Linked DNA regions of Neurospora crassa OR74A. The protein of the gene in region 2 interacts with the protein of the main gene of each other region in a pairwise test. Links are inferred from orthologs where the notes say so. Each region holds a gene or a part of one and is shown on either strand. Other genes may lie near its edges.

Region 1 (3,002 bases), about 1.1 Mb from region 2:
TTCGATTCGAAGTAAGTGGGTGGGTGGGTGCATTGACCGCCACGCCAAAGACAAGACAACAGCTGTCCTGGGGACACGCTCTTTCAAGTCCGGCTAATTGAGCCGGTTCCTTATGTTGTGACCACCCCCATATAAAAAGTTGACGAAGAAAAAATCACAATAATTCACCGAAGAGGAGGATGATGCAAGCAGCATATGTGGCTGCATGAGATGGGATGAGATGGGATGGATGATACAAAGGTCAAAGAGGAAGCAAAACAGAGATACCAATTGGCTAGTAAAGAGAGAGAGAAAGAGGGAGAGAGAAACGTAAAGCAGGTACGAAAACAAGAGTACATAAGCTTCTAGAGTAAAGAATCACTTGTAGTAATATACATAATACCACGTTCTTGGAAAGAACAAAAATCGTCAGCTCATGATAGAGGGTTTTCAGTCTTCACAATGGTTGGGCAACTCGGTCAACAACCGTCATACACAACATTCACCCATCTTCGTGTCACGGAGAAAATTACTAAAACCAGCGGGAAACGAAGTTCAAATAAGCTATCTGAATAAGTAGGTAGGTACCCATGATACGTTTCCAGATTCCCAGTGTAAGTATATGTGAATAGCTATGACCGTTCACACCTACTCCTCTTGCGTTACCCTCTCTCTATCTGATAATTTCCAACGCTGTTTCTTTCTTTTTCTCTTGCCTTTCTTTTTTTTTGATTTTCTTGTTTTTCCTTTCTTGTCCATGTTGAGACTCCTCCCATCTCTCTTTTCTGTTTGAAAACTATCTCTACCCCATCTCTGGTCATAAAATAATGAGTGACTTTGGTTAGGAAGTCCAGAGGGACGAATATCAACTAACTATCAAACGCAGTGCTCACTGGATTTGTCCAGGCTTATCAACCGACAACTTCTCTTTTAAGGAGGGTATGGGATTGAGTGAGCCTGGACGAGTGAGCCTGGACGAGTGAGTCCCAGTGAAGCACGCTTGAAAACGAAGTGAAAAAAGACTAACTCAGGCTGGCTGGTGGTACGTGAAAGCTTAAGACTGGATGGAGTGAGCGTATCGGTGTAAACCAACCACTCTCTGCGTTGATTGACTTGCAGGCTTTGCCGTTTCATTCGGTCATCATTCTACCACGAAAGAAGATATCCAACTCTCCACCTGCCCGGAAGCAACAGATCGAGTGGTGACTTCTTCCTGGGTAGATCGCATTTGACCAGGCGCTTCCGCAACCATGCAAATTCGACCGCCAGCTAACCCAACGTTTTTCCCCCAATACCAAGTGTGGGTCGACCTCATCCGGCTCCGTACATCCGAACGATGACAAAACCCTCCTTGGATACCCGTCCGTTGCTTGAGTCCGTATGCACGTCTGATTTGATGTGCAACCTTAGACGAAGGTGTGTGAAGATGCCTTGTTCCCGTATGCTTGGGGTTCAGCTTGCACGAGACTATTGCGCAGAGGGTATGTAGGCTGATCATCCACACCTTGAAGAAGCCTATGTGAAGGATTGGCTTTCAGAGAGCAGCAACAACTCCTTGCAGCTTCAGTTGGGCGAATCCAAGCTGGAGAAGGGTAAGTTGTCTTCTGCCCGCCAGCCCGAAGGCTATCGGTAGCGTGTCAACAGAATAAGTCTGTCGTGCTCACCAAGTGACACATAATAGGTCCATATGCTATACCGCCGTTTAGGTTCAAGAGAACTATAAGCATTGTGTCGTGCGCTTCCACGAGAGGAAGAGGGAGACCAACAACGCCTAGGATCTAATGGCTCAATCGAAACCTGTCCCGATCTGACTGGCAAAAGCAGTGCTGACGCTCTTCTCGTCGTCATCGTAACGGCGGTATCCGTTGCCGACTCCCATACGACCATTGCTTTCGACATACTGCTTAAGGCGATCGCTCTGGCTGTAAGAAGTAGGGCGGGCTGATCCGATGGCCTCGCTAAGGCCAGCACCGAGACTCGCGCCGCCCTGTCCGATACCCTTGCCGCCGATGACACTGGAAGTGGCATCAGTGAACTCGCTGTTGGCGACGCTCTCGCCTGCGATGCTCTCTGTCGCACGACCACGGCCCTTGGCGCCTGGGCGTCCGTTGGGACCAGCACACGGCAAACCAGCCCACGCCTCAGGGTGGAAGTTCGAGAACATGGCAGGGTAACCAGAGCTCAAAGCAGCACCTCCCAGGGCGGAGCTGTGGATGGAGGAGACATCATCCGGGATGTACGAGACCATAGAACCAGTCTCATAATCCCTGACGGAGCCGGCAGTCAAGGGAGCAGCGAACCGGCCATTAGAGGGACCGCTGGCAACATGTTGAGTGTGGCTGCGTTGCGGCCGGTAGGCCTGGCGAGGTCTGCCAAACTGCAAGAGGGAAGGCTGGAGGTTTGTGAGGGGACCTTCGACGAGACACTTCTTGTCTTTGAAGTGGACGAGAAGGTGGTGCCAGAGCTCATGCTTGCAGAGAACCTTGGGGTTACCAATAATCACCAGACCGTACTTGGCACGGGTGAGGGCGACATTGAGACGACGGGGATCCGAAAGGAAACCGATGCCTTGGTTCTCGTTGGAGCGAACGCAGGACAGCACAATGAAATCCTTCTCTCGACCCTGGAAGGCATCAACGGAAGCGACTTCAACTTCCCTGTAGGATTCCTTCTTGAACGTGCCAGTGTTCTGCATGGTATTGACAATGTAGCTGCGCTGACCCTCGTACGGCGTAATGACACCGATGTCAGCAGGCTTGACACCAGCCTTGAAGAAGCGTGTGACAATCTTCTCGACATTGGCAGCCTCAGTCCGGTTGAGGTACGATGTGCCCGAGGCCGATATTTCCTCGTTGCCCAAGTTGGACCAGAACATCATGGGAGTCTCAGGGACCGGCCAGGGAAAATCAACATCCTTGCGAAGTCTCTCGGCGGCAGTGACGCCGTTTTGCAACGATCCTTCGTAAAACATATTGGAGGGGAACTCAGAGAGGCAAGGATGCATACGATACTGGACCTTCAAG
Region 2 (4,268 bases):
CCGAATCGGAATAAGTGAACTTGAGTGCGACGCCAAAATCGTTCCTCGACTTCTCAACGTCCGAGAGAAGTTCGTTCTTGGGGCCCATTGCTGCAAGCAGCCGCTTCTCGTCAATGAAGGGAATCTTGACAACGGCTTCCCAATCCATCTTCTTGCCATTCATGTCAAGCTCAAAGTCTCTTGGGTAGAAGTCGATGATGGGAGAATTGGGGTTTGTCATAAGATCCCAATATGCTGTCGGCACGATCTTTTTGCTGCGGTCTGGCAAGACACCCATCAGCTGCTCGTATGGCTTGAACGGCTGACCCATCTTGAAATTAAGGTCGGCTTTCAGGCCTTTCATGACATCGGAAATCAGGGGAGCGTAGTGGTAGCGATAGAACCAGGGCCAAGAAGCAATACCACGGTAGTAGTAGTAGAGCACCCATTGAAGACCCTGGACGTAATTCTCCGTCAACTTGCGGAGTTCGTCCTCCTTGTTCTCTGGGGTCCAATCCTCAAACTTCTCGGCATAGTACTTGTCTTTCCACTCTTGGAACTTTTGCTGGTATTTAACCTCCATGGCAGCCTTCGAGTCGGCCGCAGTTAAATCCAGGACTTGGGCGTTGTCGTACTTCTTGATGATACGGAGAACGGCTGACTGGGCTTCCTCGTCCTCTTCCGACTCGTCGTCTCTCTCGGGGAAGGACAGGATTAGGTGGCGGTGTCCCTCGTCATCTTCCTTAGTTGCCCAAGGAATGTGAGCAGTATCAGCCAAGTCTTGGACAAACTTGCGGTCCTCGGCCTTCAACTCGGTACCGAGGTCAAGCGTATTAGTGCTCCTATTCATAAGGAATTTCCTGATCTTCTGCTTCCAGAGATTCTTCTGGTTCGTGGTGACGATGAGCTTGCCCTTGGTCTTTGCCTTTGCTGTCTCTGCCTCGTTATCTTCAAGCATCTTCTTGGCCCGAAGCCAGCTTTGATCCTCATGTTCATGTTCGAAAAAGCGATACTCCTCCTTGCCGAGTTCTTCCAGAAGCAGGCCGAGTCTCTGGAGGTTGACCTTACCGCCCTCGTTGATATATCCGTCGCCGCGCGGAAGAATTTCTTTGTAGATCCTAAACATGAGCGAAAGAGCGCCTTCATTGATGTGAAGCCGCGGAAGGTTGGGAAGGAAGTCGTTTCCGACAAAGAATGCCATAAGAATGAAGTCGTCAATAACTTTTTCCATATCGAATGGAAAAGACATGGCTCCAGGTTTCTTGAGATCCTGGAACTCCAGCTCCAGGTACTCGCGGACTATGCAGAGATGCATCAAATAGAAGTTTTGCTCCTCCAGTCCCTTTGCCTTATGCTTAGACGGGCCGCGGCCAAAGGTAACTTCCTCGCGCAGAAGGCAGAAGTGAGGGTCATGGCTGAGGAGGCCAAGCATGATCAGATCGGCGTCGAGGCCATACAAACAGTGACGGACGTTCGCGTCATAGTCGAGTTGAGCGCGCGCATTGCGGATGTACTCCATGATCTTGTGCTCACCCTCACCAGGGACCTCGTGTCCAGACAAGACAATCTCGGGCTGTTGCCAGTCCCTGTCTTCCGAGACCTTTTTATGGATGAAATATCTCAGCTGTTGCGAGAGCTTGGCCATGAATTCGGTTCCTATGCAGCTAGTTAGCCTCCGGGGAAAACATTCAAGCGGGCACCAGCGCCAGACATACCAGGTGTGATGCAGTTACTGTCGAAAGGTTCTTCTTTGGGCAATTCCTTGCCCTCACGAATCGCCTTATCTCTAGCCTTCTCATTGTCCAGCGCGGTACGAAAACGACGAGCACGCTGTTGGTTCATCTTTGCGCGAGGGGCAACGCCATCTATAGCCATAAAGAAAAGCTTTTTGGGCTTGATTTTCCCGAAGAGATGTTCGATGTAGTTGAATATAGCAATGAACATCTCCTCCTCTGTCATGCGAAATTGTACATCGCTCGTGTCCTTATGGGTACAGTTGTGGATGATACCGTTCATGTCCAACTGAGCAAACCGGTTAGCTAGGCAAGTAACGCAAGACAGCCATCAGGCCTCGGGAGGGAGCAGCGAACATAAAGGCAGTCGAACTCGGGGATACGGTTCTCGGCGATGAGCTGAGAAATGGCGGGATACCGCTCCGAGAGCCATCTGAAGAACTTGGGAACACTGGACAAGAGGGGGTATTAGCCACACGCCTGAACAACGCGCGCGTATACGGCGAGGGAGGAGCTTTGATGTGGGAGTCATATACCCCATGTTGACTAAGTGGCCTGTGGTGCCGGACTAGATGTGTACACTACTAGAAGTTTGCGAAGGAGGTCTGAAATTGGGGCGCGCTGAGCGGTCGCAGGAGATGTCGCAGACGGGGAGTCTACTTAGTTACTGCTGTCAGGGGGCGAAGGAGAGGCGTCAAGCTGGTCGTTCAAATGCCGGCACTGAATAATAATGGCCGGGTTTCTAGATAGCGAAGCCTCCAGGGATCGCAATGGTGCAATAAACCGAGGGGGGACGAAGCAGCAAGGTCCAAGACTGAAGATGCTGTCTATGGAAGGGAAGAAGAGGAGTGTCCTTGGAGCAACCGACAGCGCCAATCGGGAAAAGAAGCTACTATAGTGCTAAGAAAAGCGGAAAGGTTGAGAATCCGAGGAGTGGCCTAGGACGTTGGCGGCCTATGTTCGAGATAGACGGAGGTAAAGGAAGAAGTGGGTGATGTCTACGAGATGGAACCGCAAGAGAAACAAAAGTGGAAGGTCCGTCAGAGGTGTGGATGGGACGGAGAAGGTGTCGGGTCCTGGGCTCCGGGCTGGCTAGGTGTTCAGGCTGTGACACACTGCAGTTTCTAGTTGGCCTCCGTTGCCCCACGCGGGTTGACTGTGTGCCTGGGGGCGGCGTGAGCGTCGGTCGTAGAGGTAGAGGTACCTCTAGAGCTAGGTACTAGCGCTCGGCCCGGCCAGGCCAGGCCAGTAGTGAGCGCTCCGCCACCTCATCAGGCTCCCGGCTGTCACTGTCAGCTCTCTCCCCGCACCAGCTACTACTGAACCTCAAGGTAACGAACCTCAAGCGAGCCTCCGCCCTCGACGAGCGGAACGGAACTGCCCTGGAGGGAATGGGGGGTCTGACAAAAGTGGGCGTAGCAGGCCTTTATAGTATAAAACGCTTGAGCAGGGGTTGTGGGCTACAACATCCTTACACAATATTGTTTCTTACTGTAATCTACTAGATAATTGAATATTGTTGTATTGAAGTTGGTTTTATTTTACAATACGTAGTTTTAATTAATAGTACAACGACTATTAACGCGGTATTGTATACAAAACGGAATTAACCGTTCAACAGCGCACAAAAGTACGACAACAGCGAACTGTACCACAACAATACGACCCGAACTACAAAATATACAACATAATAAATATACTCACTTAAATTGCTAATTGCAAGCTAATATTCTTATTAATATAATAATTGTTTAATTATATTTATTTATTCAACAATTAATATCTATTCTAAGTAACAAAAGCCTTACAATTATTTCACAGCAATTTTCAATCAATATTACACTTATATTGATAGAGGTAGGTAGTAGGGGAGAAAGCGCTATATTAAATTACTTATCTAAGCTACCTAAGTGGCGGGTATTCTTTATAGAAGTAATTCCTATTATTCCCTTTCTAATAATTGTAAATTAAAACTCTAACCTAGGTATATAAGAAAATTAGAGTACGGGTACCGTATAGGTAGCCAATAAGAATATTCACCTCAGGCTACCCCAAATACGCCTCCTTTAGGACTATTTCGATATAATAGTATAAAATATATATTCCTTAATATAAATATAACAATAAGAAAGTATAACGAAAAAAAAATAAAAAACTTTAATTCCGGCTCTAAATAAAGACAACACATGAAACTAGTTGTAAATAATAACCTAAGGATAATAATATAAAAAAAGAAAAAAAAAAAAAAGAAAAAAAAAATAACCTAAGGAAGATCGAGGGGTACTATAGCCCAATACGCATATAATTACAAGCTTTACTTATACTAACCATTAGCAACGAACATCCTCTGGAACTATTCCTCCCTAGAGAGATAAAACTTATCGAGGTATTCTATTGGGAATTCGAACCCAGGCGAAGGCATTCTATACTAGCCACAACTATCTTTTAAAGTCCAATTTCTAACCTCTTTAATATTCTTCATCGGGTTTAAGGAAGTATTAACAAAATATCAATCTAGAATCCGTAGTTCGTAGAGGCCGTTAAAATTATCTATAT

The links.
Region 1: the proteins of NCU06678 (region 2) and prd-6 interact in a two-hybrid assay, tested with the Saccharomyces cerevisiae proteins (2 studies listed by BioGRID, with this or other methods). The link is inferred for Neurospora crassa OR74A from reciprocal best matches to the Saccharomyces cerevisiae genes XRN1 and NAM7.

What each region holds. Positions count from the first base shown.
Region 1 is NC_026505.1:5,327,019-5,330,020, forward strand, and holds the end of prd-6 (ATP-dependent helicase NAM7), read right to left. Parts: coding exon 1,766-3,002; 3' UTR 519-1,765; downstream 1-518. UniProt on the Saccharomyces cerevisiae protein: RNA-dependent helicase required for nonsense-mediated decay (NMD) of aberrant mRNAs containing premature stop codons and modulates the expression level of normal mRNAs. Also capable of unwinding double-stranded DNA and translocating on single-stranded DNA.
Region 2 is NC_026505.1:4,232,155-4,236,422, forward strand, and holds the start of NCU06678 (exonuclease Kem1), read right to left. Parts: upstream 2,819-4,268; 5' UTR 2,254-2,818; coding exon 2,249-2,253; intron 2,164-2,248; coding exon 2,070-2,163; intron 2,002-2,069; coding exon 1,695-2,001; intron 1,636-1,694; coding exon 1-1,635. UniProt on the Saccharomyces cerevisiae protein: Multifunctional protein that exhibits several independent functions at different levels of the cellular processes. 5'-3' exonuclease component of the nonsense-mediated mRNA decay (NMD) which is a highly conserved mRNA degradation pathway, an RNA surveillance system whose role is to identify and rid cells of mRNA with premature termination codons and thus prevents accumulation of potentially harmful truncated proteins.